Rattus norvegicus: one gene and its partners. The protein of the gene in region 7 binds, or shares a complex with, the protein of the main gene of each other region. Links are inferred from orthologs where the notes say so. Each region holds a gene or a part of one and is shown on either strand. Other genes may lie near its edges.

The links.
Region 1: Snrpd3 (region 7) and Prpf8 share a complex: the UniProt entries of both Homo sapiens proteins name them as parts of the U4/U6-U5 tri-snRNP complex. The link is inferred for Rattus norvegicus from reciprocal best matches to the Homo sapiens genes SNRPD3 and PRPF8.
Region 2: Snrpd3 (region 7) and Lsm8 share a complex: the UniProt entries of both Homo sapiens proteins name them as parts of the U4/U6-U5 tri-snRNP complex. The link is inferred for Rattus norvegicus from reciprocal best matches to the Homo sapiens genes SNRPD3 and LSM8.
Region 3: Snrpd3 (region 7) and Usp39 share a complex: the UniProt entries of both Homo sapiens proteins name them as parts of the U4/U6-U5 tri-snRNP complex. The link is inferred for Rattus norvegicus from reciprocal best matches to the Homo sapiens genes SNRPD3 and USP39.
Region 4: Snrpd3 (region 7) and Crnkl1 share a complex: the UniProt entries of both Homo sapiens proteins name them as parts of the minor spliceosome. The link is inferred for Rattus norvegicus from reciprocal best matches to the Homo sapiens genes SNRPD3 and CRNKL1.
Region 5: Snrpd3 (region 7) and Sf3b5 share a complex: the UniProt entries of both Homo sapiens proteins name them as parts of the minor spliceosome. The link is inferred for Rattus norvegicus from reciprocal best matches to the Homo sapiens genes SNRPD3 and SF3B5.
Region 6: Snrpd3 (region 7) and Gemin5 share a complex: the UniProt entries of both Homo sapiens proteins name them as parts of the SMN-Sm complex. The link is inferred for Rattus norvegicus from reciprocal best matches to the Homo sapiens genes SNRPD3 and GEMIN5.

What each region holds. Positions count from the first base shown.
Region 1 is NC_086028.1:60,828,137-60,832,636, forward strand, and holds the start of Prpf8 (pre-mRNA-processing-splicing factor 8), read left to right. Parts: upstream 1-1,641; 5' UTR 1,642-1,711; intron 1,712-1,877; exon of another isoform or gene 1,878-1,902; 5' UTR 1,903-1,913; coding exon 1,914-2,013; intron 2,014-2,491; coding exon 2,492-2,660; intron 2,661-3,854; coding exon 3,855-4,019; intron 4,020-4,123; coding exon 4,124-4,342; intron 4,343-4,454; coding exon 4,455-4,500. UniProt on the Homo sapiens protein: Plays a role in pre-mRNA splicing as core component of precatalytic, catalytic and postcatalytic spliceosomal complexes, both of the predominant U2-type spliceosome and the minor U12-type spliceosome.
Region 2 is NC_086022.1:48,270,761-48,275,123, forward strand, and holds the start of Lsm8 (LSM8 homolog, U6 small nuclear RNA associated), read left to right. Parts: upstream 1-1,367; 5' UTR 1,368-1,510; coding exon 1,511-1,541; intron 1,542-2,457; coding exon 2,458-2,498; intron 2,499-4,363. UniProt on the Homo sapiens protein: Plays a role in pre-mRNA splicing as component of the U4/U6-U5 tri-snRNP complex that is involved in spliceosome assembly, and as component of the precatalytic spliceosome (spliceosome B complex).
Region 3 is NC_086022.1:105,961,433-105,966,136, reverse strand, and holds the start of Usp39 (U4/U6.U5 tri-snRNP-associated protein 2), read left to right. Parts: upstream 1-1,585; 5' UTR 1,586-1,666; exon of another isoform or gene 1,667-3,519; coding exon of another isoform or gene 3,520-3,642; intron 3,643-3,953; coding exon of another isoform or gene 3,954-4,105; exon of another isoform or gene 4,106-4,220; intron 4,221-4,704. Other genes in the region: C4h2orf68 (UPF0561 protein C2orf68 homolog), read right to left, coding at 3,520-3,642, 3,954-4,105.
Region 4 is NC_086021.1:153,804,780-153,809,283, reverse strand, and holds the start of Crnkl1 (crooked neck-like protein 1), read left to right. Parts: upstream 1-1,669; 5' UTR 1,670-1,755; coding exon 1,756-1,806; intron 1,807-3,182; coding exon 3,183-3,335; intron 3,336-3,828; coding exon 3,829-3,920; intron 3,921-4,504. UniProt on the Homo sapiens protein: Involved in pre-mRNA splicing process. As a component of the minor spliceosome, involved in the splicing of U12-type introns in pre-mRNAs.
Region 5 is NC_086019.1:9,175,908-9,178,674, reverse strand, and holds Sf3b5 (splicing factor 3B subunit 5), read right to left. Parts: upstream 1,487-2,767; 5' UTR 1,342-1,486; coding exon 1,081-1,341; 3' UTR 774-1,080; downstream 1-773. UniProt on the Homo sapiens protein: Component of the 17S U2 SnRNP complex of the spliceosome, a large ribonucleoprotein complex that removes introns from transcribed pre-mRNAs.
Region 6 is NC_086028.1:42,833,247-42,837,150, reverse strand, and holds part of Gemin5 (gem-associated protein 5), read left to right. Parts: intron 1-1,567; coding exon 1,568-1,700; intron 1,701-3,904. UniProt on the Homo sapiens protein: The SMN complex catalyzes the assembly of small nuclear ribonucleoproteins (snRNPs), the building blocks of the spliceosome, and thereby plays an important role in the splicing of cellular pre-mRNAs.
Region 7 is NC_086038.1:13,141,840-13,146,265, reverse strand, and holds the start of Snrpd3 (small nuclear ribonucleoprotein Sm D3), read left to right. Parts: upstream 1-1,345; 5' UTR 1,346-1,460; intron 1,461-2,738; 5' UTR 2,739-2,754; coding exon 2,755-2,880; intron 2,881-4,426. Other genes in the region: protein GUCD1, read right to left, coding at 477-732. UniProt on the Homo sapiens protein: Plays a role in pre-mRNA splicing as a core component of the spliceosomal U1, U2, U4 and U5 small nuclear ribonucleoproteins (snRNPs), the building blocks of the spliceosome.

The DNA of each region.
Region 1 (4,500 bases), on a different chromosome or scaffold from region 7:
TTCTTTATTTTATTGTTTGCTGTGCCAGGCATTAAATCTAGTACCTTACTTAGAATAAGCAAGCATTAACCTCAGAAACCCTGACCCTGAAGTCATTAGCATGCTCTGCTACAAGCTCTACAAGAATCTTTAGGGAGGTTGGGAATTTAGCTCAGTGGTAGAGCGCTTGCCTAGCAAGCACAAGGCCCTGGGTTTGGTCCTCAGCTCCGGGGGGGGGGGGGGGGGGGGAAGACAAGACAAAACGAATCTTTAGGGTTTGGGAGAGATAGCTTAGGGGTTAAAAAGATTTATTGATTTTGCAGGGGACCCCAATTCCTGGTACCCAAGTGGTGGATCATATCTACCTCCATTCCAGGGAATCTAATGTCTTCTTTTAATCTCTCTGGGTACCAGGCATGTTTGTGGTGCACAGGCATACTATGTGAAGGCAAAACATTAATCCATATATTTTTTCTTTTTTCTTTTTTTTTTTTTTGGAGCTGGGGACCGAACCCAGGGCCTTGCGTTTGCTAGGCAAGCGCTCTACCACTGAGCTAAATCCCCAACCCCAATCCATATTTTTTAAAATTAATTTTTAAAAACTATTATTTGGTACACTTTGTTTTGTTTTTGAGGTGTGGTCTTATGTAGCAAAGTTTGGTCTTAAACTCTACAAAGCCAAGGAAGAATTTGAATTTCTTTTTGAAAAAATATTATTTTATGTATATGGGTGTTTGGGTTGCATGTATGTGCACCATGTGTGTTCTGTATCTGCAGAGGGCAGTAGAGGGATCAGATCCTGTAGAATCAGAATTACAGGCAGTTGTGAGGCACCATGTGATTGCTGGGAACCGAACCAGGTTCTCCGGAAGAACAGTCAAGGCTCTTATTCATTCAGTCATTTTTCCAGGCCCAGACTTTTTTTTTTTTTCTTTTTCTTTTTTTCGGAGCTGGGGACCGAACCCAGGGCCTTGAGCTTGCTAGGCAAGAGCTCTACCACTGAGCTAAATCCCCAACCCCCAGGTCCAGACCTTGAATTTATGATCATCCTGTCTTTACAGCTCCCTGTGCCCCACCTCCACTACCCAGTGTCCCACGAGTGCTGAGATCCCTAAGGTCTATGCGTTGCCAGAAATCGAATGAACCAAGGGCCTCCTGTACACCGTACTCTGAGGTTCATTCCCAATCCAGATCATACATTCTTGCCAGACTTCCTTCTGCTTTGGACGTTCCAAGAGTTATTTGACTCTTTGGTACACAGTGAGCACTCTTAACCATAATATAACGAAGGAATAAAAGAACAAAGGATTCATTGAGTAGGAGCTAGTACTGCATATCAGCTCTGAATTCCTGAGAGTAAATACAAGAAAAATGTGCAACGTAGGCAAACTTATTAAAATTGTTATGGCTTTGGCTTTTGGGGAGCAATGTTAAAAGCCAATTAAATGTCAGTTCTATTACAGGCCTCCTAAACCAAACTGACTGGCGGAAGGCGGGGCGTGAGTCTACCCCGGCCCCACCCCTCGCAGTGAAATCCGCTTTTAGACCCGCCTCCCCGACGCGAATTTTACCGTCAATTGGGGTTTTCGCTAATCCATCGAAGCATCTCGCCTCCTATTGGGTGAGCTTCTGAACCTGGTTGCGCACTTCCTGGAGTTGGGAACGCGGAGCGGACGTCGTCTTTCCGCCATTGCTCTGCGAGCCCTGCCGCTACCTAAGTGAGGGACGACAGGTGGGTGGCGGGCGTCTGAGGCTGGGCTGCAAGGCTGTCGAGTGGGCCGAGCGGCCGAGAAGCTGCGCCAGGCCCGGGTCGCGAGCTCTCAGCCCGGCTAGGGTGCAGGCCAGGGCACGCCGGACGTGTTCCATCTTTCTCTTCTGGGCCCGGGCCTAGCTGATTCGTATTGGCTTGCCTCTCCATCCCAGATTCTCCCGGCATGGCCGGAGTGTTTCCTTACAGAGGGCCGGGTAACCCGGTGCCCGGCCCTCTAGCCCCGCTGCCGGATTACATGTCAGAGGAGAAGCTGCAGGAGAAAGGTGAGAGGCGAACGGGAACGGCGCGCGCGGGCTCGAACGTGCAGGCGGATTTCATTTCTTCCCTCTGTAGGCAGGTCATCAGGGGTGTACTTATTAGCAGTATTTACACGTTTTAAAATGTGTTTAAATCATTGAAGGTTTGGAAGCGTCTGTTATTTGCAGGAAGCTAACGTGCGTGCGTGCGTGCGTGTGTGTGTGTGTGTGTGTGCGCGTGTGTATTGTGTGTGTGTGTGATGCGTCAATGGTGACAAAAGCTGTTCCTTTATAGGGATTGCATTACTCTGAAGGGATTAGACAGCAACCCTTCCCTAAACATCAATAGCAAAAATGTCAGGTGTTTTGGGGTAGTAAAATGGCAGTATACTTATCAGTGAGTAGTTCTCCTCTTCACAGCATGCTGAGGGCTACCCCAGGGGCAAGAGTTGGGGGATAATTAGGGTGAATGTGGGCAGCCCTTTTAACTGAGATGCTTTTATAGCTCGAAAATGGCAGCAGTTGCAGGCCAAGCGCTATGCAGAGAAGCGGAAATTCGGGTTTGTGGATGCTCAGAAGGAAGACATGCCCCCAGAACATGTCAGGAAAATCATTCGAGACCATGGAGACATGACCAACAGGAAGTTCCGTCATGACAAAAGGGTCTATTTGGGGTAAGTAACATCCCAGGATAATTTCATATGGAGTTTGGCTTCTTTCCTTTTTCGGCCCCTTCATTGACAGTGTTGGATAGAGGGACTATGGTTTGGAACATGACTTTTTAACTGAGACACAGTTTCCTTGTGTGGGCCTTTCTGCCCTGGAATTAGCTCTGTTGACCATGCTGCTCTAGAATCCACAGGGATCCCCATGCCTCTGCCTCCTAAGAGCTGGGATTAAAGGCAGAGACCATCATGTCCAGCATGGAACATGGCTGTAGACTTTACATAGGATGTTTGTAGAAGTAAAGCCAGGACCACTGGGATTCGGTGATAATTGCCAAGTCTTCTACTTATTTTTGCTTTGTTTTGTCCTGCTGATGTCATTGTTAAATACTATTATTGTTGAACTGTTTGAAGCTCAAGATATGACACACTCTGGATGCTTTTTGGTCACTAGCATTTGGGAGTTTAGGATGTTTAATTCCTGGAGTCTCTCTTACTACTTCTGCAGCAGTAATTGGTAACCAGTGTGGTAGTGTTTGGACGTAATGTCGGCACTGGAGCTGCAGGAGCAGGACTGTCACAGGCTTGAGGCCAGCTCAAGCTGCTCCGTGGAATGCTCCATTAAAAACAACAACAAGAGCCAGATTGGTGGCCAGGCATTTAGTCTCTGTGCACGGGAGACAGAGACAGGAGAATGAATCTTCTGTTCTAGACTGAGTTTCAGGCCAGCTAGGGCTATATAGTAAGACCCTGTCTCAGACAACAACAAACATCATCATCATCATCATCATCATCATTATTATTATTGAAACTTGCTTTTGGTCCTCAATGGATAGACCTTTCCTTTTAGGAGTTTAAGTTTAGTGGCATGGTAAATGAGAGACAAATGGTCACTGTGTAGAGCCATGAATGTGCTGGTATTTACAGGAAGGGCAGAAGGAAGTTGCTTTCAAAGGGACAGGTGTTGGTTTATACAGGCTGATTCCCACTATTGTGGAACTAAGACATTTAAAAGGGAGAGTGGTGTTAGATGGAGATGAGGAGGCCATACTGGAAGTCATGTAGGATCTGCGTCCTAATTTGGGGCTTTGGAATATAAGGCAGCATTTTGTATGGAACACGTGATAACTTTATGGCTTGTCAGCAAGGGACAAATGATGAACACTTAGTTGTTTCTAATTGTTTCTCCTCCTTGTGTTGCAGAGCTCTCAAGTACATGCCTCACGCAGTTCTCAAGCTCCTAGAGAACATGCCCATGCCTTGGGAGCAGATCCGGGATGTGCCTGTGCTGTACCACATCACTGGAGCCATTTCCTTCGTTAACGAGATTCCCTGGGTTATTGAGCCAGTTTACATCTCCCAGTGGGGGTGAGAAGGGCTGAAGTGTGGGGGGAGGTGGCATCTGGTGGGGTGTTGTGGGGGCGGAAGTATTGGCAGTTGAGATCAGTGGGCATGATGCTCTTGCCTTATAGGTCAATGTGGATCATGATGCGTAGAGAAAAAAGAGACAGGAGGCATTTCAAGAGGATGCGTTTTCCCCCTTTTGATGATGAGGAGCCGCCCCTGGATTATGCTGACAACATCTTAGATGTCGAGCCACTGGAAGCCATTCAGCTAGAGCTGGACCCTGAGGAGGATGCCCCTGTGTTGGACTGGTTCTATGACCACCAGCCATTGAGAGATAGTAGGAAGTGAGTGGAACTAATTTCTGTGAGAGTTCTGGAAACAGGAGCTGTGGGAAGGCCGTAGGTAAGAGGCTTGGCTCAATGCCTACCTGATGTGGGCCCTCCATCTTTTCCCTAGGTATGTTAATGGTTCCACCTACCAACGCTGGCAGTTCACATTGCCT
Region 2 (4,363 bases), on a different chromosome or scaffold from region 7:
TTCAAAACAAAGCTTCCCAATACTTTTACACATGCCATCTCATCCTTTCTTAAAGCACTTAAAATGTGTGCCATTCCTTTAGTCCCATTAGAAAATATAACAATACACACAATGTTAGAATAAGCTTCGGGGTGACAAAACTTTTTTTTTTATGATGCAGTCTATTTTCTTGAATTATAATAGGTATAATTTGTATGGCAAGCTTTAAAGGAATTCTTTTAGCTCCCCAACAGTTTGATGATGTAATTACTGTCACTGTCTCTAACTAAAAGCAAAGCACAGCTAGTTCAATCACTCCAAAGCCATAATTCTTCAGCTAAGAAAGATTTTAAAACCCACAACAAAAAGAAATATTGCTTTTTTCCATAATTAGTTGTGCAGATTCCTAACAACCAGTTTTGAAGTGAAAGCACCATTAAATAAATAAATAAAACATTATTGGAGCAGACAGGGTAGGGGGAGGTTGGAGGTATAACTTATTGGTACAGGACTTTGGAAGACTTGCATAGTGTGAGTTGCACACACACACACACACACACACACACACACACACACACACACACACACACGAGGCATGAGGGAGAATGTCAGTCCTATTTTTACCAAGACATGTGAAAAATAATAGTTCTGTAGTAGGAACTAAGTAAACTCAAGTCCAGAGTTGAAGTGACATAAAATAGTGACAGCAATGAGGGACAGAATCAGAATCAAACCCGGTGCTTAGTTTACACTTTTCTCCAATTAGTCCCTTCACAGTGGGGCTGTAGCCTTTATTTATTGAACTTCACCCTGAGGAAAGCTAAGTCCCGAGACTTCGATGAAATCCATTTCTTAAGGCAGGCTCCTGCACCTTCAGCTATTTGGCTTTCGTTTTTTAAAAAAGCTCGTTTAAGGACACGAAGAGCCAAATTCAGAATACACAAATATTTTCATACAGTTGTTTTCTCCGAAAATGTACATCGTGGAGCTACAAAATGCTCCCTTTGTACTGGGCTATTTGGCTTTTTAAACTTTTTTGGCTCATGCTGGAGAAATCTAGAGCTCCTTGCACCCTGCATCTACATTGCCTATGAGAACAAAGAATCTCTCTCCTACTCTAGCCAATGGAAACATCTTCATCTCGTGTGTCTTCCGGCAGAAAGAGTCTTTCCGCACTACCTTTAGTAACTACCACAGTGCCTTCCCGTCCGGTAGAACCCTCCAGTGTCTCCTTCCAGTCCGCCTTCGGTGACAACTCTACACTTCCGCCTGTCCCCGCCTTTGTCTCCCCTTCCGATCGCCACCCGGAAGCCCAGCGGAAACACGCTGCGCATGCCCACTAGTCAGCACCGCCCCGTTTCCTGTTTGTCCGACTCCTTTCTCTTACTGATTCGTCACCGCTGAGGCCTCAGAGTCTCGCGATATTTGCGTTCGCCAGCGGGCGCGAATCTGTACGTGTTTCTAGCGGGCGGTGTTTTGTCTCCTTGTTGCTGATTCCTCTCAGATTCCCGGAACCTCCGGGCCCAGCAGCATGACGTCTGCCTTGGAGAACTACATCAACCGTATCCTCGGGCGGGCCGCTGCGACGGCTCAGGCCGCGGCGGGGGCGGGAGGGAACACGGGGGCCCGGAGTGGTGGGCAGTGAGCAGTGGGTGGAGGACCGGGGGTCGGGATTCGTGGAGGGAGCTCCCGGATGGACCCGTGGCTTTTTCCACCCACAGCACAGATCTCGGTGTAGTTAGAGTTTTCCTGCACGTAGCCTGTTGATTGTATATGTTCCAACATTGGGACTAAGGTGAACTGTTGTCCTAAGGACTCCCAGTTCGTAGATCCTAACAGTCTTGTTTGTTCGGGGATAGCATGAACAGGAAGATGCTCCTCAGATGTGCATTTCGGGTCCCATGCCTCCGCTTGAAATGTCTATGCGGTAGAATAAAAATAAATCGTATTGTGATGGTGTTTGGAGAGTGACGAATGGCTTTTAAAAAGCCCAGAGATTTTAAGATAGAATTGCTGTTCTGAAGTCAGGGCAAAAACATTGCACCTAGCATATGCTCAAAGAGGAAACCCTAGTTAAATACAGAGAGGTTTTAATGATGCAAGGATTATTGGTACTTGATGGCATTAATTGGATGAGAAGGGCCTTACCATGCATAAAGAGATCCAACATTGATTAGCTCCCATCTAAATTTTATTCTAAAGGTTAAGAAGTGAGTCTAACCTGCTCAGTGTCATAGGTTGGAAACATTGCTGTTTAAACCAGAGGCAAACAGTCACATTCTATACCCTCTATCGTTTAATTAACTGTTTTCAAGGTACAGTTGAAACAAGTTTAAAAACTTACGTTTTATTCCTCCGAGCAGTGACTCTGTTGAATCTTAATTCTTTCTCTTTTTTAAGTAGTTGGAACCATTCCCTTTCTAGGCTAAAAGTTTTCAGTTTGTATTTAGGAAATACTTTCCTTGACTCAGTTCTCAGGAACTGTTGCAGTAATAACTTCTGATGGCAGAATGATCGTGGTGAGTGACATTTTCGTTTTCCTCTTTCCTGAGGCTTATTGCTTGTACATTTGAGGTAACATTTCTGGCCCAATGTTCAGACACCACAGCGTACCAATATTCCGGTGTTCTTATGATTCAGCTATTTAACTTCATCTCTTGGCTGCCTGTCCAACTTCTCTGGCCAACCCTGAAGACCTGAGCTGAAAGGTAGAGCTGTGTGATAAACTGATTTGTTTTCTTCTTGCATCCTTCTATTCCGTTTCGTTTGTTTTAACTTAGAGACCTTAAACAGTTTACATGTGTGTGCCCTAATTGGTTCTTTATCGATGAGGAAATGTGCTTTCAGTGATTTCATCATTTTTCCGAATATAGTAAGTGGTTTTGGAAACTTAAATTTATGACTTCACTGGTGGCACAATCTTCGGTACCATTGGCCGACCTACCATTTCTGATTGAAATATTTCTTGCATGACTGTAAATTAATCCCATGTTATTCCATTCTGGTTTTTTTTTCTTAAAGATTTAATTTTGTTTTTGCTCATGTGTGTGTGTGTGTTTATGAGCGTCTGCCATATGTGTGAGGATACACTACACAAGGAGACCACAAGACCTAGAGTGAGCCACAGTGTGTGGGTGCTAGGAAGAACTTGGACTTTTAACCACCGAGCCATCTCTCCAGCTCCTTAATTTTCTTCTTCATCCTTTTGACTCTTCTCTTCCATGAGCAATACCAGTCAAAATGACATAGACTAAATGCATATCATGTGTTAAGGATTTTGTATATCAATTAGTTTGCATTACAGCCTTGTGAAGAATTGCCACTTTTGTTATTAGGAATCTAGCTTAGACAAAATAAGTCACTTTCCCAGAGAGTCAGTATGACAAGTGACAGAACTGTATAGTGTCATAAATTGTGTTTAATTCCAAAACCAAGGTTACTTCCTTTGCTTGTTCTTAATAAAGGAAACAAATATGTAGGATTTTTTGTTTGTAGTTTGTTATGAGGGGGTGGTGGTGGTCAGATCATAGTCTATATATTTGTAAACTATGGGCACTTAGGAAGTCTATTAATGTTAAAAGCTAATTTGAAAATAGTTGATTTTTAAAGCCTTTAGTTTTAATTTCTTGTTTCTGTTACAAAATGTTTATAGAAGAAAAGCTGAACAAAAGCATTGACATTGATTAGTTCCTATCTTTATCACAAAGTTGTCTGATAAAATAGTTTTGTGTAAAATGAAGGTGAGAGGATTTGGGGGGGGGTTTATGATAACCACCATTTACTAACTGCTATAGTAAATAGTCTAACGTGTTTTTCTTTCCAGTTTCTAGACTCCAGGTTTCTATTTATTTTATTCTGATTCTATATAATTATAGCTTTTGTAACATGAGAATTTAATGGTAGACCCAAGAGATTAACCAGCTAAATTGAAAATAAGCTATTTCTTCAGAAACTTGAAGAGCATCTATGATACTTTCTTTTTCTAAATCCATACAGTTTTTCCTGCTTGTTTTCTTCAACTTAAGTTTCTGATTATTTCAGTTCTAATATATCTACTATAGTATTGATAGAATTCAGTTAGACATATACACAGGACACAGTGTTGGCAGTAAGGAGATGAAATATTAACTATAAGTGTTAACTAGTTTGTCATAACATTGTTTACAACAAAGTAGAGGACTTACTTTGTAATCAGCCTCTGAGCTATGTACTATCCAGGAAATAGATCCTGAACCATCATTTTTATGGAGCATTGGGTGCTATATTTGAAATGGGCAAACCAAAGAACTGTCTCCAAAGATGAAGGAAAGGAGAGGTGATGCATGCAGTGTGTTTCTTTAGCACTGGACCTTTCCCTAAGAAGTAGTATACAGTGATCTTTTGT
Region 3 (4,704 bases), on a different chromosome or scaffold from region 7:
AGGTTTCAAACAACTGCCAGCATTGCATATGAGATTCCCAAAGGCTCAGAGGCAGAAAAGTCATCTGTCCTTATATGAGGGTCTCACTTAAATTTGAGTTATCTAGGAAGCACCACCCTGACACAGGTCTTGTTAAACACAGCAGGTTGGACACTCACCACCCCAAAGAGCTTCCACCTATCTGGGCTGCTCTCCAGTTGGCAGTACACCCACGACCAGAGAGATGGAATGTTCTTTCACATTTCCTCTAGATCCACACCTGCTGGCTAGACTGCAGCCAGCATACACTTTACTCTCATCGTATACACTTTTACATTTTTCCCTTCTTTGCACTCTTCAGAGTCACGCTTGCCAGGGGGCTACAACCCCGGCTTTATCATTTATTCTTGCACAGCACAAACCCCCTTGCAAAAACCAATTCTCTCTCTCATGAATAATACACACTTGGTCCAGGAATCACAAAACTGTAAAATACAGGCTTAACTCTAGTTAAGAACTAAGGGGAAAAAACATTCCATAGAGAATGGGAATGAGACTTTTTGTTTGATACAAGGTTTATGTAGCTCACGCTGGCATCGAACTCATAGCAGTCTTTTTTTTTTCTTAAATAATCGGGGTAGGGTTTGAGACAGGGTTTCTCTATGTACTTGTAGCTGTCCTGAACTTGCTTTGTAGATAAGGCTGGCCTCAGGAGACCTTATCTCTGCCTCCCAAGTGCTGGGATTAATGGTATGTGCCACTATGCCTGGCTATAGGGCAATCCTTTTATCTCAGCCTTTCAAATGCTGGGATTACCAGCATGTACCATCATACCTGGCTCAGCCTCCTGACCCCATACCCCCTTCCCCCAAAAAAGACAGTTAAGAACTTATCTACTCAAATGAATGTTGATTCTGGGGCAGTTTGCTGTTAAGTCCTGCCTATGGCATGCTGTGCTGTAACATTGGGCAGTTCTGAGAACTCACTATGGCCTGTGAATTTTGAAATAGGTAAGAGAAGCATCTGGAAGCAGGGTTGCCAAGTAAACTGGACATTACTACGGACCCCAGAATAGGCCAGCAGAGCAACAAAGCTATGCCATAAGGCTGAGGGTGGCCCCTAAGAGACATTTTAGGGGTGCCTAGAAAATATCAGCTCTCACAGGCTGGCTCAGAATGACCATTTCATTTGGGCACAAGTCTGGGGCTTTAGGTAGTCATACAGGACAAATTAGCTAAGAATCAAGAGTGCTTTCTTAGCTAGAAAATCTTTCATACATACTGATAAGCAAAGTGCTTCTGGAAAAGGAGCTTAGAGAAGTTTCCATCCGTCTCCTTTCTGCGCAGGGTCTTTGTGAGGACCATATGAACACATGAACGGCCTCTACAGAACACTGTATCTATTTTGTCCTTCATCAAGAAGTGGGAATAACGGCAAATTTGTAGGTGCTGGTCCTCAGATTCTTCTTCAGGTGTTTTTAACAGGTGTACAATAACAGAATCAGGATATAGGAAGCATAGCTCTAAGAACACAGACCCCAAAGAGATTCCAATGTTCTTTGTCCAGCCAGAGTTCCAGTGAATCCTGTGTTTTAAGTCAGAATATGGACTGATTAACTGGAGGATGAAGAGCATGGAGTGTGGCAGACCCTCCTTCACCCCGAAGGCTCTGGATGGTATCTAACCAAGTAAGGCCACAGGCACTTTCAGCACTAGTGCACAAGTACTGGGTGAAGGCGTTTCCCTGACAGCAGACTGAGATCAGGACTCAAGCTTAAGGCACTGAGCTCTGGGACCAGCTCTCCTGGTCTAGAGCATTCAGGTCCCCAGCTACTTCTGGACTAGGCCCTTCTAACTCACCACCTCACCCAATGCCCCAGAGCTCTGGCACAGCAAGCTGTGAGTCACTCTTTTAATGCATAAAGCCGATGCCCGCTACATTACATGTTTTCAGCAGAAGGGGATAAAACACAGCAGGGACCCCAGGTGTCCCAGAAGAGACAAGCTACTGAACTCCTACAGTTAGAATGATCTTGAGACCCTAGAAGACAAACGCCCGGGGTAGGAGGTTCGGCTGTGGGCTGTTTTATGACTCATGTTTCAGGTTGCTGAAGTTAGGCTCGTATGTCAGAAGTCTTAGGTAGCCCTGAATTCCCGTGCACAGGATGTCTTATGGACTTCAGACCTTAGTTAGCCTAAGCTAGTGTTGGAAAACATGTCCCCTGCTGGAAAAATGCTCTGTCTGGGGATCTTTACCCAAAGGACCTAAGGTACATTTACTTAGTTTTCTCTCGAGACAGCTCAGGTTGGTCTTTAACTTAGGCAGTCTCATACTCTGGCCTCTTCCATGCTGGTAAGGTTAAAGCGTGCGTCATCATGCTCAGACATATTCTTGGGAGGTATGAGAGAAGAAAGCATGGAGCAGAGAAAGGGTCATTTCACTTTCTTGATGATGTTCTTCTCAACTCCTTTTTGAAACTGGGGCCCTCCCACCTCAGGACAATTATAGCTATTGTCAACTCTCCCAACTTCAATAACTCAAGATTGCTAAACCACAATTGGAGCATCTGCTTTGATAATTCCCCTTTAGTCTGAGCAGAAGGTAGTCTGTTCACAGCTAGGAGGTGAATTTGGTAAGCCTAGCCAAGGCAGGTTTTACTTTTTTAAACCTTTCTTGTTGTTGTTGTTGTTTTGAGATAGGTTCTTTCTACCACTGTCTGTCCTGCCACTAGATGTGCTGGTATGTAGACCAGGCTGGCCTTGAACTCACAGAGATCCACCTGTCTCTACCTCCTGAGTACCGGGATTAAAGGCATGTGCCACCCATGCTTAGCAGGACAGGTTTTCAACAAAGGACAGCAACTTAGCACAGCACCTTCTTCCTGGGTCTCCTATGCAGTCTACACAGACAGTGCAAAGCAGTGAGGCATGAGTAGCTTGGGAAGGCCACAGAAGGGGAAGGAGATGTGTTTCCAAATAGGCCTCAAAACCAAAGCTCTCCTGTTTTATTGGCATCAGAATTACTTGGAGAACTTGTCAAGGAAGGCAGGCTTCCAGAAGCCCCACTTCTAAATTCCTGAGTGGCAGAAAAACAGTCATGTTGCGGGTGGGGGGGGGGGGTAGAAATGGACTCTACCCAAGGCAGAAAGCTAGGAGAAACGAAAAGTGATGACTGAAAACAGGCCTGGGGAAAGATGAGTGGAAGAAAGCAGAAACACGAAGGAGCCTGACAAATAACCTCACCAAGACAACAGCACACGGGCAAAGGCTTCAGAAAGCCTGGCTCTCCCTGAAGTCTCTGCCCCCAAAACACCGTTAGCCAAAGCCAAAATTCCAGAATGTTAGGTTAGATGAGATAAGAGAGAATAGCTGCTGAGAGGTAGGTCGGATGTGGTCCTGCAAGACCCTTGTGGATACAGCAGCTTAGAGGAGGACATTATCCCTGAAGATCACATGGATTCATCCTGGCACCCCCCAAACTAGAGGTGAGCTCCTTGGGCAAAATTCTGCCAAGTGCAGTGAATCCTGCCCTTCAACCCCATCAGTGTCGGCTCTGGCGCTTTGCAAGTTCCTCCTGGATGCGCAATCTGAGGGCCTCTCGCATGGCTGGATCCAGAGGTGTGTGTGCTGATACTTCCTCACTCACCCTTCCGGGATCATCGTCCTACGTGGAGGAAGAGTCAGGAAGCTCAGAGCCTGGTCTCTCAGAAAAGTGCTGCCCTATTCCTAGACAGCATTCTCACAGAACTGTTTGGCTTAAGGCTTGTCATTTCTCAGGAATCCCCTGTAACAGTGATTCTCAACTGCGGGTCACAAGTTTTCCCTGTTCCCCCAATTAGGAATCTCTGTGCTGAGAATACCTGACAGGAAGACACGTTTTCCACTGGCCCTGAGATTAACAGCGGCTCAGGAACTAGTGGTAGTTTCCATCATGGCCCAGGACCGTCAAGATGCAGCTGTTTCCGGAAGGCGTACCTGATATACAATAACTGATGTGACCTCTCCACTGTCCGCTTCATATTCTAAACAGAAGAGCTGGCGACCAGGAGGCTCCAGCTCAGAGTTTCCACTACTGCTGCTCTCACTGGACTCCTCACAGTCTGGGTTCACTGGGTGGGTAGAGCCATCTGTAAGGGCAAACCAGAATGAGAGGGAAGAGGGGGATGCTGCTAAAACCCCTGCCCACAGAAACTATCAGAAAAACAACACCAAGAAAGCCTCCAAGCTTCCAACAGACCCTGGGTGGGTATGTGTGTGCACTGTGTGTGTGTGTGTGTGTGTGTGTTAGGGGAGCTGTCAATCAGGATTTTAACTTCTCTTTCTCTCTCTCTCTAGCATAATTACACTAGAAAGTTAAGAACAAGATGAACATGTCTCTTGCAAATATCACTGGAAGTTGCTCAAAGGATGGACAGAGCTCTGCCTCAGTTCAAATCCAGGCTCTGCCATTTACTACCTGAGATGTTGGTCAACTTATTCACCTCTTTGGATAGTAAAACAGACATACTAGTTCTCAGCTTAATGGTGTCTTATGGGTTCAATGAGTCAATGTACTCAAGATCTAAACCCTCTGTAAACAATAGCCCCAAAACTTGGTGTCATATGTTAGTTGTTAGTAAACGTGAGCTCATGGTCACAGGAAACCCGACAAAAGGCCATTTACTGGGGTCACTTCATTTTATGTACTGGTCGTTTTTTCTGTTGTTGTTGTTCAGGTTTTTTTTTT
Region 4 (4,504 bases), on a different chromosome or scaffold from region 7:
GAGAGGAGGCAGTATGTGAGAGCAGGAGGCAGTGGATGACTACAGAAAACATCTGGACACAGCAGCAGAACACAAAACCTGTGCAAACTCAAGCCAGACCAAATCCCCACATGGAGAGTTAGGCACAAATCCCATACCTGGCAGCAGAGAAATTAGCCATTTTTAGCTGCTGGAAAGCATGAGTTTTCTCTAAGAGTCTACCATTCTGGTAAGTTGACCAGGCTCCAATGGAAGACCACATATCCAAAAATATCTGGGCAACACAAATTGGTCTTAAAAGGTTGAAAACCAAAAGGACACAAAGTTGGGTAGATAGGGAATGGGGTAGATCCCGGGGAAAGCTGGAGGAGTGACTATGATTAAAATGCAAAACTCAAAGAATTTTTAAAAAATGCTTACAAAAATGAGTATTGGGCTGGAGAGATGGCTCAGCGGTTAAGAGAACTGACTGCTCTTCCAGAGGTCCTGAGTTCAATTTCCAGCACCCACATGGTGGCTCACAACCAACCATCTGTAATGGGATCTGATGCCCTCTTCTAGTATGTCTAAAGACAGTGACAGTGTACTCATATAAATAATAAATCTTTAAAAAAATTAAAAATTGAGTATTGGCAGTCAAAGGCTCAAGGGGAGAAGGATGAACAGGCAGTACCCTGAGGATCTTAATGGCTTGGAACTCTGTAGATTATAGAAACAGCAGACACAGACTATCTTGCCTTTGTCCTAAATCTCAGACAGTACAAGGGTGAACTGTAACAGCCTTTAACTGATAATGTGTCAGTGTAAATTCACCAATGCTGACGATGAACCACCGTAGGGGTGGGAATGGATCGTAGAAAGCCCTTTGAGGGTGGGGAAAGAGGGAGTAGGAGAAGCTCACCTTCCCAATTTTACCGTCAATCTCAAAATTTTTATTTAAAAAAATTATCTTAACTATATGCTCAGTAACTCTGTTTCTGAATGTACGTCGGATAGTATACATACTAACATCTAGCGAGCACTTTACATAGACAGATTTTCTCTTTAATCTTAAGGAAATAGGTATTTCTCTCATTTTATAGTCAAAGGATAACAGAATTGAAATAATGAAAACAAATTTACAGACTAAAAATTTGGTTTTTGTACCAAATGTACCAGTTTCTGTAGATGCTTTGCTACTAATTTCCACCTTTCTCTAACATCTTGTTGCAAAAATACCTCTATTTAAAAAAAAAAAAAAAAAATCCACGTTTCAAGATCATTAACTTGGCCCAATCGCGAGGAAGCCCGAGACGAGGGGGCGGGGACTCAGAGACTACAAATCCCAGCATGCACCGCTGCCCTGGCAGCTGCTTGCAAGGCTGTGGTTTCCTCCGCGCTCTTCCCTTCTCCCTCTTGTTTCCACTTCCGAGATGGGTTCCTACGCCCCTTGTCAGGTGCCACTACCTACAGCTGCACGCATCTTAGAGACGGACCTGGGTGAGCCCTCGCCGCCCGAACCCCATGTCCCTGCGGCGCAGCCCGCGCTACCCACCTCACCCGCAGTCCCAGCAAGCGGCGCTGCTCCTCTGAGGACGCGCACACGGTTGCTACGGAAACGACGCGGCGTTTCCCCTGACTGGTGAGGCGGTCAAAGGTCGCCTTGGCAAGTTCCGGTTCCGGTTCCGGGATCTAGTTTGTTGTGGGCTGGCTCTGTGGTGCTGGCCGCGGGATTTTGAGGCGTGTATCTGAAGTCCGGGTGTGGGCCAGGGTCGCTCGCGTTCCGCGGCTACAATCATGGCGGCTTCCACGGCAGCCGGGAAACAGCGGATTCCTAAAGTGGCCAAGGTAAGCGACCTCGAGGAGCCTCAAGCACAGCATCTGTGGTGTGGGGCACTAGAGATTCCGGACAGAGATCTTTGTGCCCTGGTCCAAGAAGACAGGTGGTCCATGGTGAGGTGGCACGGGGTCTTGTCACTCCGAGTTCGTCTCGCGTCTGCCCAGCCTTCGTTCCAGGGTGGTATTTTTGTGATGCAAAGCATCAGTTCGGTTCGGTAAACTCATTGCTTTTCCTAGTCTCTGGGGGTCCCCTACTTTTACTCGAGGCTACAGTGCTCCAATAAAACTGGAGGAAGGGCGAAATAGCAACCTTGATAGATGTAGCCTAGTCCCGTAGACTATGCTATAGGCAAGAACCAGAAGGGTGCCAGTAAACTTGAGGGTAAGCTTTGTGAAGGAAGCTAACACTGGAAGGCTGCGTCAAAGTTAGGCAGTGGAGGGGATGGGAGAGGACAGGCTCTGTGCAATGGCATCATTTAGGTTGGACAGTAAATTATTCTATTTCCAACGGTGGCTGATACTTCACCAATGCTTAATGAATATCAAGTCTTGCACTTAGCCATTGCATACAATCTTTCTCTGGTTTGATTCTTCTAGGGCCTTTTGGTCTTGAGACAGGTTCTTATTTCCACATGTAATTGTAAAAATCTAATGTGGTAGCTTTTCCCCTGCATCCTGAGTCATAAAAACCATGGTATGTGTCCTGGCTAGATTTTTTGACAGCTCGACACAAGCTCAAGTTATCTAGAAAGAGGAGTCTGGACTAAGAAAATTCATCCATAAGATTGCTTGTATGCAAGTTACTGATTGGTGCAGAGGGCCCACCCTACTTGGGCAGTGCCATACCTGGGCAGGTGGTACAGAGTAGTATGTAAGAACAGACTGAGCTTAGCTTGTATATCAGTCATGCCTCCGGCTTCCTGCCCTGACTTCCTTTCATGATGGACTCGTGGTCCAGTTGTGTAAGCCAGTCAATCAGCTCTCTCCTCTGCGGGTTGTTTTTGTTGGTGTTGTTCTATCACAGCAGTAAGAAAGCAAATTAGAACAGTATGTTTGCACTCAGGGTCCATCTACCTTGAACACGTTTGACTTGTGGCTACCGTGTTGGAACTAAAGCGCTTACAGGCTATTGGTGGAGACTTTGTAAAAAGAACAGTTTCAGTTGGCCTAAAATGTCATGGAAAACCAATTTGTCCACTCGAGGGGTTAGAGGAGTTAGTTCTCTGAGCAGGTGATAAAGAGGAAGTGGTACGATTTTCCCCCTGCCCCCGGTTCTGTCTCATGGAGAATTGAGGGTGTCATTCAAAGATGGCATCTTGGACTCATTCTTAGATCTTGTGTGGAGAACACTACCCAAAAGCAGGAATGTCTCTTTGTCCTAACAGGTGAAGAACAAAGCGCCAGCAGAGGTGCAGATAACCGCAGAGCAGCTCTTAAGGGAGGCTAAAGAAAGAGAGCTCGAGCTCCTCCCACCCCCACCTCAGCAGAAGATCACAGACGAGGAAGAACTAAACGATTACAAACTACGGAAAAGGAAGGTGAGTCTGTTAAGAATGCACTGCGTACGTCTGTCCAAGTCGCCCCCCACAGTAGGAGCGAGGGCCTGGGAGAGAACTCTGAAAGGGCCTATGTGATCGGACCTCAGGCTAGTATTTGGGATTATTTAATGCACTAATATCGTGGAAGTCATACGTAAAATTCTACGAGTTACCGAGCACTTGAAGGTAATGTTAAAAGTTGTTTCAACATTCTTATTCTTAATGAGAGTAGAATTTATTAAAGCACTCGTTGTTAATTGCTACGGAGAACAGCAAAGCGTTCTAAAAGACACACCTTACATTTTTCTTGATGTCACCATAAACTTTAGAGAAACACCTGTCATTGTCCCCCTTCTGGAGGAAGGTTCTTGTTCCTCAGCATCTAGGATATATTTTCTCTTAGAAAGAATAAAATGAGTGCTGTATATTACAAGGGGGAAGCAAAGTCATTTTCTCTTTGATACACTCTCTTCACTCCCCTTTTGCCTTTCAGACTTTCGAAGATAATATAAGAAAAAACAGAACTGTGATTAGCAACTGGATCAAATACGCACAATGGGAGGAAAGTCTGAAGGAAATTCAAAGGTAAAGTGCCACGACTATAGTAACTGTCTGCAAAGAGTGTGCAAGCCAGCGTGTGAGAGCTGGGAAGAGGAGAGCAGGGAACTGTGCCGTGTCAGCAATTTCCAGCTTCTTTCCAGGGAGCTCTCTGAGGCACTCACTGGGAAGGACAGTCAAGGGGGTGTCTCAGGAGGTTCTAGATGTGGGTCTTGCTGCTAGTACTCCTGTCGCTAAGAACAGTGTTTTGTCTGTTTTCTGTGTTAATTGGATATTGTTTCAAATATAGGAGTGTTCTCCTGAAATCTGTTGTCAAGATAAAAATCATGGTGGCCTTCACTGCCCGTTGACTAGCCTTTCTACCCTCGTACCCATGTTCCACTGTGACCATGTCCTTGCCAATCCTGAGCACATCATTGCTCATTACTGTGCCATTTGTTTGCTCTCTGCCTTGACCCCTTGAAGGCACCTTTTCTTCACCAACCTTGACTTCTGAACAAACTGCAACTATCTCTCCCATTCTCAGTTCCAGGAGCTCCTGCAGCTTAGCCTGTTTCACCAAACATTGCCATTTCTCTCTCTGCTTCCTGTCCAGACCTTGCCTATGCTGC
Region 5 (2,767 bases), on a different chromosome or scaffold from region 7:
CAAGAGATCCCCTAGCCTCTTGGGTGCTGAGATTAAAGGTGTGCACTACCACACTGGTTAGTCACACTGGTTGCTTTTATGATTTTCCTTCAGTAAGTCAAACACACTGCTGCTCTTGGGCCCACTGCAGGGCAGGCCTTGTTAGATGGAAAACACCTTCCCATGCTCTGCGTGGCTATTTCTCTTGATTCCTTGAAATCTGTCCTCAAATGTCACCATCTCGGTCATGTAGCATAAGCGTGGGATTTGAAATTGTAAACTCCTCAAGCTGCCCCATCCCCCTCCATCTTCTAACTCTTGACTAGTTTAGCATATCTGCTTCCAAACTGGCCGGCATAATGTATGTCCTCAAACCTTTGGAAAATGCTCTGGTGAAAACTGAATGGGGAGAGGTGGAGCAGGGTCGGGACAGGACACCATTGTTTGCCAGTTTGTCATTTCTGAAGACACACAAACTAATTACCAAGAAAGGGGGGAGGGGGCTGCAGCATAAAGGGAAGTGAGGTTAATGACAGCAAAGACTAGAAATGGGTGGGAAGGAATGTGGAAAAACTCCATGCTTGAAGGTTTCCTTGGTACCAGACACACTGTAGGCATGAAGAAAATCGAGGTGAGGGAAGATCATAAAAGTGTGTGTGACAACTAAAGTACTTGTCAATAAACGCTTGCCCTGTGCTTCCGCCCCCGTTTTCTAGTCATATTCTCACGAAATCTTGATCCACAGAACTCTCTCCAAATACCTCCCAAAGAACACAGCAATTCAAACCAAAAGATATAACAAATCCTAACTTTATGTATGATATATATTTAAAAAAAAAAAAGGCGAGAACGACATCAACTATCGAAAAGCTGACTCGGAATGCGTCATCACTCCCAGGCAGTCTTCTCCCTCGCTTGCCGATTCTGGGATCACTCCTTCCGCACAGCTCCCAGGAGACCCGACAGTCTCTCGATGACTTGTTCGGAACCGTCCACAGGTAAGCAGGTCAGGCGATACACCCAACGGAGAATGGTCGAGAAGCAGGAGTCAGGAGGATCGGTCCACAGATGGCAGATGGGGAAGGCTGGGAAGCGCTCGCCTCAGTTCTCCTCCGGCTTGTCCGCCGGCGGCCCGCTGGGCTGCAGCATTTTCTCCATCAGGTTGAAACGCACGCGCGCTTTGCTCTCATTCTCAGCAATGGCGAAGTAGTTGAGGAGGTCGAAGTGACCCATGTAGGAGCAGTAGGAATCCCGATGCTGGTTCACAAGCCATTCCCACTTGGTGGTGTCGGCGTGGCCCGTGCCGATGTACTTGGACTGCAGATGCTCGAGCTGGCTGTGGATGGTGTACCGGTCCGTCATCTCGCCGCTCTGTTCTTAGGCTTCGAGGTCAGGCCACAGATGAGAAGCTACCGCTGTTCGGCGTTCAAATCAGAGAGACGCCGCCGCCGCTGCCGCCGCACAAAAGCTCTATTCGTGCTGGCGCAGGAGAAAGACGACACGCAGTCGCAGGAGTACTTTCTTTTCCTAGGCGGAAGGGGAAATAAAGTCTGTTGCGGGATTGGGGTTGCCTAGGAAACAGTGGGCCGTCTCCTCACGGAGCCCGCCTACTTCGAAGAGCGTTGCATGATGGTCCTCTTAGTGGCTCTTGGGTGATCACGTTCTAACCCTCGCGTTGCATTCTGGGACATGTAGTCCAAAGAGTTTGTCTTAGATTGTTTTTGAGGGGTTTTGCCTGGCTTATATAGGACAATGTCCAAAAACCTCGAAGCTTCATCCCACGGCTCCGGGCTACAAAGAAGGAGAAACCTACGTGGGTTTCATAATCCCACTGTCATTGAAATCTCATACTGCCGCAACACAACAGTATGAGCAACGAGGAAAACTAACTCTTGTACCTAGAAGTTAACATGGTGGCATGGTTCCGCCTTGGCCCAAGTTTTGTCTCTTAGGATTTGGGTACCGGGAAAAGTTTTTTTTTGTTGTTTTTTTTTTTTTTTTTGTTTTGTTTTGTTTTGTTTTTTGACTCTCGCTAGCTGCTTGTTGATCAGTGTCAGCACTGGTAGTCTCATTAATGGCTTCCCTAAGGAGTTCCAGGCGCCAGTTTCTCAACCCACCTAGGCTCTGTGGCCTTGGGCAAACAACCCCTCTTTAAGGTCATTCATAGGCTATTCCTTGAAGTCGGATATGGCTCGAGACAAGAAACCTCTTTCTCTTCATCTTGTGTTTTTCTGCTGATTTCTGCCTTATGTTGGGGGTTGTGCACTTTCTCGCATGGTACAAACTACTCAGAAAAAGATAATTGTACTTCTTTCATGGTACTCCCTGAGGATATGCGAATAGCGTGATGAAGATTGTATTCTCAAAAAAAAAAAAAAATCTTAAGAATGGGGTAAGAGCAATCATAGCCAGAGAGGATGGATGATGACAGACAAATTGAAAATACAGGAGTTTGGGGGTACTTTTGTTTATTTGATGTAAGAGGGGGGAGGCGAAGTTTTGTCCCTGAGCTCACAGCAATCCTCCTGACTCCTGAGACTAGAGACTTGTGCAACTCCATCTAATATTTATTCTTCTGTCTAAACTTTGTCATAAAGCATCTTGCCAGGTGGTGGCAGCACACATCTTTTTTTTTTTTTTCTTTTTTTCGGAGCTGGGGACCGAACCCAGGGCCTTGCCGCTCTCCCACTGAGCTATATCCCCCAACCCCGGCAGCACACATCTTTAATCCCAGCATTTTAGAGGCAGAGGCAGGTGGCTCTCTGAGTTCCAGGAGAGCCAGGCCTAC
Region 6 (3,904 bases), on a different chromosome or scaffold from region 7:
GTGCGCATCACCTTTATGTGGGTGTGGGGTCTGACTCGGGTGGTGAGCGCTCTTTTCAAGCCAGATCACCTCACAGAACCATTACTTCTTTCAAATTGGGCTGAACAGTCCCTCCCTGCAAAGACACCTGTCTGAGAATCCGTGAACATGAAGGCTGTCCACAGTAGCCTTGCATTCTCCTTGCATAGCAGATCTGCTGGAGAATACTGAGAAAATGCTGTTTTCTGTATTCTATTTGGAATATCCTGAAGCACATCTCTGGACATGTACGTGTTGCTTTGTTTTGTTTGAGACCGGTTTCTCTGTGAAGTCTTGGCTATTCTGGAAGTTGCTTTGTAGATCAGGCCTTGAACTCAGAGATGTACCTCTATCTGCCTCCTGAATGCTGGGATTAAAGCTGTGCTCCAGCACACCCAGCTGCCATGTATGTTTTTAAAGCTGTTCTTGTGGTTCTGATGGCCAGTACAAATGATTGGGTCAGTGCTGGTGACGGTTTCCCTTTGAGGGTTAAGCACCCTTCCTAGGGGTTTCATATCAGATAGCCTGCAGATCAGTTATTTATATTATGATTTATAACTGTAAAATAAGTTATAAAGTAGCAACAGGAATAATTTTATGGTTGGGGGTTATGACAACATGAGGAACTGTATTAAAGGGTTGCAACACTAGGAAGGTTGAGAATCATTGAACGAGAAGGAGGAGTTAACTAGAATCTATTGTCCTGCAGTTAGTTGTTAAAGGCTTTCATTCTAATAAGGAGCTCAATTTCCCACACAGAGGTACTGGCATGTTCATGCATCTGCAGACCAAACAACCTTTGGTGCCATTACTTAGGTTCCATTACAGACAAGATTTGGAGCTTGACAAGCCAGCTAAGCTGGAGAGTTAGCCGGAGAGCCCTGTTTCACCTCCCTAGCAATTGGACGAGCATATTACCATGCCTGGTTTCACATATGGGTCTTTCGGATCAAACTCAAATCCTAATGCTTACAAGGCCAGCACTTTACAAGCTACAGTGTCTCCCAAGCCTATCCCAGACAAAGATAAAATTCTTCAAGTTTCAAAGATAGCCTGAAAAGGTTTGTTTGGCCTAAACTGGCAAGACTGGCGTTAACCTCTATCAGAGTAATGTCTCCATAATAAAATGACGTGTTCTTTCTTCTGTGTGCACATGTATGTAGAGGTGATGTTGCAAGTCTTCCTTAGTCCTTCGTGTTTGTTTTTTTTGTCAGCCTTGTTTTGTGAGACAGGTTTTAGCTGAATCTGCTGCTCAGTGATGAGGCTAGACCAGCAACTGGTCAGCAGCTCCAACAGCCTGTCTCTGTGCCCAGCCGTGGCAATGGGTGATAGGTGTACCCCACTGCACCAGGCTGCTGCTGCTTTTTCAGTGGGTGCTGGGGCCTAAGCTGAGGTTCTCATGCTTTTGTGGCAAGCAGTTTCATTACTCTAGCCCCCAAGGTTCTACTACTAATCAGCCAAACCGTTTGTAACCCACAGAATTGAGGATTGCTGGGAGGGGCATGATACTGTTTCACTGTCTTGAGAGTGAATTGACTTTAATCTACAGGTGTAATGGTTTTGAAATTGCCCTTTCTGAAGAGAAGAAGTGGGGGTGTGGACCCAACAGTTAAAGAACGTCTTTGGTTGACACTTCATTGGCCCAAGAACCAACCAACACAGCTGGTATCCAGTTGTTTTGGGTAAGTATTGTGGCCGTATTTTCTAATAAATACTGTCTCCCTGTTCAGATTCAGAAATTCTACGCTTATGTGTTCAGAAAATAGAGAAATAACCAAGACTTATGCTGTCGTTGTTATTCATCTTTCTTCTTTTTTAAAGACATAGCCTCACTTCAGGCAAAGATTGACCTAGCACAATCCATGGAGGATTGGAAAGGTCCTCCTGCCTCAGCCTCTCAAGCGTCTTACTTTGCCCAGCCATCTTAGCATGATAAATGAAGTAATGAATGGGGAGATTCAGGAGACCTGTGCTATTTACTACCAAGAATGGCTCCTTGGGCCGTCTTTATAGGCTGTGCCATGCCCCCACCCACCACCACTACACATACTAGTTGAAAACCTGAGGTGGTCAACTTGATCTGCTCTGTAAACTAGAATTTCCACAACCTCATCCTCTGGTTTAGTTCACTGGCAGGAGCCACTCACAAACCTCACCTATGAATAAGGACATTCAAGGGTGCAGCTGAGAGATGTTCAGAGCATGAGGAGACAGACAGCCTTCCTGTACCCTCTGTAGGTTTTATGAGATCATCATTATAGACATGTGATTGATGTCATCTTTGGCCATCGGTGACCAGCTTATCTTGACCCCTCTATCCTTAAGATGAACTGGGACCACAAGTCACACCCTTATCCCGCCTGGGTCTGCTGAGTAACTCGTCCACATCTTGAAGCTACCTAGAGACTACACCTATCAGCATGCAGAAAGATACTGCTGCAGAGACACATGCCAGAAAAGAGCCAAGGCCAAACGTGTACCACAGTGTCAGGCTGCCTCGTTTGCCAGGACACTGAGAATTCCATGGGCCAGGTCCCTGCTTTAAAATAGACAGTACAGAAAAGCACATACAGATATACAGATTGCCCAGAATGTTAGCCCCATCCCCTCCTGACTACTTCTACCTAAAGAAGATACATTTTGAACGTTGCAAGTTATAGTTGACTTTTATAAATCAAAGAAATGTATTTAAAAGATAGTTCATGGATATGGTAGCTCATGCCTAAAATAACGAGTCCTTCAGAGGCTGAGGCAGGAGGATCTTAAAATTATCCTGGGCAACATAGAGAGTTCCAGGCCAGCCTGGAATACGTCCCAAGACTCCTATCTCAAAAAGCTTTAAAAAAAAAAAATTTTTTTTTTGTTTTTGTTTTTTTTTTTTGTTCTTCTTTTTGGAGCTGAGGACTGAACCCAGGGCCTTGTGCTTACTAGGCAAGCGCTCTACCACTGAGCTAAATCCCCAACCCCTTAAAAAAATTTTTTTTAATTATGCACACTATCTCATCACAGATAATTGTGAGCACCATGTGGTTGCTGGGAATTGAACTCAGGACCTCTGGAAGAGCAATCGGTACTCTTAACCACTGAGCCATCTCTCCAGCCCCACAAATAAAATTTTTAAAATCTTTTTTTCAAAGACTTGTTTGTTTGTTTGTTTATTGTATGTGTTTGCACACACATGCCATGGCATATATGTGGGGTTGAGGGGACAACTTTAAGGGATTGGTTCTCTATTTCCATCACGTGGATTCCAGAGATCGGACTCAGCTCAGGTTTGGAGGCAAGTGCTTTACCCACCAAGCCACACCACCAGCCCCTTTGTTTATTGTTGTTGTTGACGTTTGTTTGTTGTTGGAAAAGTACATCACTATATAGTTGTGGTTTTCCTGGAACTATATAGATTAGTATGTTCTCAAACTCAGAAATCCACCTGCATCTGCCTTCCAAGTGCTGGGTATGCACCACCACATGTGGCTTAATTTCGAGGAGGGAGCGCTCACTTTGTAGTAGAGCTGTACTTGAATTTATAATATTCCACCTCTGCCTTCCCAGTACCTGAGTTCACACTGCCATATCTAGCTCAAAAATGTTTTCCTGTTGATTTTGGTAGTGGTGGTTGGTTGGTTTTTCAAGATAGGGTTTCTCTGTATTCCTCGAACTTGCTGTGTGGATCAGGATGGCCTCAATCCACAGAAATCCACCTGCCTCTACTTCCCCAGTGCTGGGATTAGCTGGAATTAGAGGCATGTGACACTACCACCTGGCCAAAAAAAGGGTTCTATTGGGGCATAAGGTGTGGCCATCAAGGAAGGGGTCATGCTGTGGGCCCAAGACAGGACCAGACCAGCAGTTGAGACCAACAGTTTAAGGTGATTGTAAATTCTGT
Region 7 (4,426 bases):
AAAACAGTAGCAAGACAAAAGCGCTGGGTTTGGGAAGCCAGAGAAAAAGACCTTCCCTTTGCTAGATGCTCCCAAGCCATTTTTTCCCCTCTTTCCCGCCCCTTTGTTGAGTGCTCTCAGGCCCCTCTTTCCCCCCCTTCCCGGCCTCAGGCTTTCCACAGCTCCCCGGGAAACAGGATCACCCAACGTGCTTCAAGCAGGGCTATTCGTTTCTGAGCAAGGTTGTGCCTTTTTGCCCCTTGGACTTTTCCACTTGACCACTCTCAGAACTCCCTGGGCTTCAAACCCCGGGAGACTCAGAACAACCATAAGTTGAGGATAAGAGATGAGAAGGAATATCCACCTAGCTAGGACCCACTAGAGGCTCCAGGCTGGGCTGAGGCCGCAGACGACCCAAGGTCGCACGCTGCCAGACCCTGCTCGGCTCCAGGGCGGAGTCCCCCCCCCCCTCGGTTCCCCCTTAGAGAGGCACTGACCCGGCTCGAGCGGCTGCCCCGCTGCCTCTACCTCCGTTCTCATGACCCGGGTGGCGCAGGGCGCCCATGGCCCCGGCCTGGAGCTGATTGCCGCTGCGATTTCTGCTGGGCGGAGAGCTCGGCCAGTGAGCGTAGAGTTCCTCCGCCGCCGTCGCCGCGGCCACCGCGGTTCAGACCCGGGTAGGCGGTGGCGAGGCCGCCTCAAGCCACGCCTAATCCCTTCCAGGTCTGGGCGCTGGAAACCCGCCCCTTCCATAAGCCACACCTCTTCCCTTCTACCCACTTCTCTTCCAGACTGCGCTCCCGGCCGGTCCTTCCCTTAAACGCTCCGGCGGCCCCGCCCTTCCTTAGCCCCGCCCCTGCCCGAGCCCCCGCCCCCAGAGCCTTTCCCGGGGCGACGTTGGCTCCCCACAAACAACCTAGCACTCTCCCGCCACTAGGTCTGCTCTTTTGCAGCCTCAGTTGTAGGCTCTGGTCCTTCGCAATGCCTCGTCGAGACTCCAAAGAATCCTTTTCCTACTCCCTTTAGGTCTTCTTACTTTGACCTTGAATAAAGATAGTTCCCAGGGCTCGGTGTGTCCCTTACCTGACGGTGACCGGATCCAAAGTTTAAATTTCTAATCCAAGCCTCACTTCCTGTCTACCCAGAGCATTGGGCGCAAGCCCAGATCCTGCCCAATCCGTCACTACAGCACTCTGTAAGCGTGGGTCCCCATGTTCCTTTGTGGGCTCGAGGATTGATGTTTCCGGCGGTCCTCGGGCCCTCCACAGTGCCGGAACTATAGTGCTAGAGGCCTGGGTTCCCCAGCCGGCTAAGTGAGAGTAAAGGGTAAGTAGGCCTAAAGGAAAGGGAGGGGCCTGCGCAAGGCATTCTGGGAGCGCGTGGTGTGAGTGATACTCGGGCCCGTCGTTTCCTCGCCTCAAGCCTTCGCCTTCTAACGTTTGTGCCGGGACCGAAAAAAAAAAAAAGCCTGCAGTTAGTTGGTGAGGAGAGGCGGCTAACGGGAGAGGGGAGGCCAGGGCTCTCCAGAGGCTTAGGAGCTGAAAGGGACGCGGAGGAGGAGCTCAGCGGGGCTTAGCGGAGGGCGGGAAGCCAGGGCCTATCCAAATATCATCTCACTAATCCTAGGAACAGTTATTTATTTACGCCTAGCCAGCACGTTCTGTGCCTTTCCAGGTCACCGATTTTCGAAGCTTACAGGCAGTCCTTTCTTGCTAGTTATCTCCTTGCCTTCCGGATCTTCGTTTTCAACGTCCTTTTCATCCCTGCGCCACTCCCATTCCTGTACTGGCCTCCCCTCCTGCTTTGCACGCTGCTGCAGACGTTTCAGCAGATTGCTCTGCTATATGTTTAATCCACTTTGTAGATGCTACTAGTTTTTTTTTAAGCCCTTGCCTATAATCCTGTAGTGTTTCCCTACCATTTTCAGCACTCTCCTAAAGTTGAAAGCCGTGGTTCCTCACCATGTTTAGCATCCTTATAGTCTTCTCATGAAAATGGGCCGTGTGCTCCGTCTAGTGTCGTTTCCCGTCTCAGAAATGTAAAAGCCCTGCGCATAGTCTTTGTTTTTTTAATGAGACTTAAGTCGAGCGTTTACCCTATTTCCCTGAATGATGAGCATTTCCTGTTTATAGCATGTTGCCGTGACGCTTTTGGTCTGCTTTTTGGTGGGGAGTCAAAAAGCTAAATTGTAAAGCACAACCTGTTTTCCTGGATTTCTCTGGGTTTAGGTCTCTTTGTACTATCAGGTACTGTAGCTTTTATCCAAATGCGGTTGCTGAGTGATTGGAATATGACTAGTGTGGCTGAGGGACAGATTTTTTTTGTTTTCATTTGCATTTTGTTTACGTGTAAACAGTTATTTGGTCGGGGTCCATATCATAGTTGTTTAAATGATTATAAAGAGAGGGACATATGACTGGGTGAGAAGGGAGGTACTCGGGGTTGGGGATTTAGCTCAGTGGTAGAGCGCTTGCCTAGGAAGCGCAAGGCCCTGGGTTCGGTCCCCAGCTCCAAAAAAAAGAACCAAAAAAAAAAGAAAAAAGAAGGGAGGTACTCTGATCCCATTCATTGGCTTTCTTTGTCCAGTTTACCATCCTTCCCTACCCTACATGTTGGGCTAACTTGCCGTCGTGGGTCCTTCAAACCAAGAGCCAGACTCCTTCCACAGAAAATGCAGCCGTGACAGAATCTGCAGAGCCTGTGGAATGCCAGTCCTTAGGCTCCGAAAGGTAACCATTGTCTCTCTCACTGCCCCATAGGAAGAGTCCTGCCAAGATGTCTATCGGTGTGCCAATTAAAGTCCTGCACGAAGCGGAAGGCCACATAGTGACATGTGAGACCAACACTGGTGAAGTGTATCGGGGGAAGCTCATTGAGGCAGAGGACAACATGAACTGCCAGGTATCCTGCTTTGCACCCGGGGCTGTGAAAGAACGGTGGCTTCTATCCTGGGGGATAAAAAGGTCTTAATGAAGTTATTCTTACCAGACAGTTACTACCTGTCAGGCACTCTGACAGGCTGTGAGATCATATGTCAATGTAGACTTAGTCTTGAGACAGGAAAGTCATTTGACAGCCTGATGTGGTAGTCCATGAATGTCCCAGCAGTTGGGAGGCTGGGGTAGATTCGAGGGTTCTAGGCCAGTGTGGGCTTTACAACAAGACCACACTGCTTTTGGTGGGGAGTCAAAAGGCCGAGTTAAAAGCCCCGCCTCTCTTCTTAGTTTTCTCTGGGGTTGGGTCTATGTGTGCTTTCAGGTAGCCTTTATCCAAATGCAGTTGCCGAGTACCTGTCCGTAAAACAACCAGTTATGTTAACTTGTTCTGTCTGTCTCGGCTCCTAGAGTAGGTCAGGTTCGGAACCGGAGTCCGCTTCCCAGCACAGTTTATAGTTTGCAGAATTTTCTGCTCACATATGTGTGTGTTTACTTTTGTCTTGGAGAAAGTTCATCTGATAAAACTACCAGAGTTTTGATAAATGGTTTTGGATTTTTTTTCTCCCATTAATTAAGAACTTGAGCTTTGGAATCAGAGAATTCTCTGATTTCAAATTGAGTTGGGCCACAATTATAGGACCTGGGGTACCTTGGCCATTCGTTCTCTCCTCTATAAAATGAGAATGGAGTTGTTTTGGATCCTCTGTGCTGTAAATGCCAACCCAGAATTAAATCCACAAAAGACTTGTTGGGGAAATGGCAGAAGGATGTCAGTGACCGAGCGGGATAGCACATGTGATTGGTTACTTTTCTTGTTGCTGTGATCAAATTCCTGACCAAAGCAACTTACGGAAGGAGGAATTTATTTTGACTCACAGTGTGATGACACAGTCTGTTGCAGAGGATGGTGTGATGGCAAGAGCTTGAGGAGGCTAATAGTCGCATTGAATGTGCAATCAGGAAGCAGAGATTAGTGCCTGCGCTTAGCCCAGTTTCTACTTTTGACCTCCACCTAATCTAGATAATCCCTCACAGACGTGCCTGTCCCTTCCTTCAGTAATTCTAAATCCATTAAGTCGATAATAGTAATGATGGTAGCAGGAGAGTCTTCAATCCAGAGAAAGGAAGGCAGATTGAGCAGAAGGAGCCTCAGACTGCAGCATGATGCTGAGCAAGTTTCCCCAAGTAAGAGGAGTGACTGGAGGCAGAAGTGGACTGGCTCTCATGTTTCCTCTGTGCTCAGTCCCTGGCAGCCTGTGTGCATGGCTAACGCAGAGTGAGTGCCAGGGCAGATCCAGAGCAGCAGCTGGAGGATGTCGGCTGCACACTCTTCCCTGCCTATTGTCTCTGGAGGATGAACGTAACATCCCTAGACTGCTCCAGGTCTAGAGATGTTGGAGAAGAGACGTGTGTGTGGGCAGCAGCCAGCTCAGTGCTCTGCTGTTGGAGTGAATCTGTAACATCTTATAAGAATATATTCTTAGTGAGAAAATGAGGTTGGAAAGGTGCAG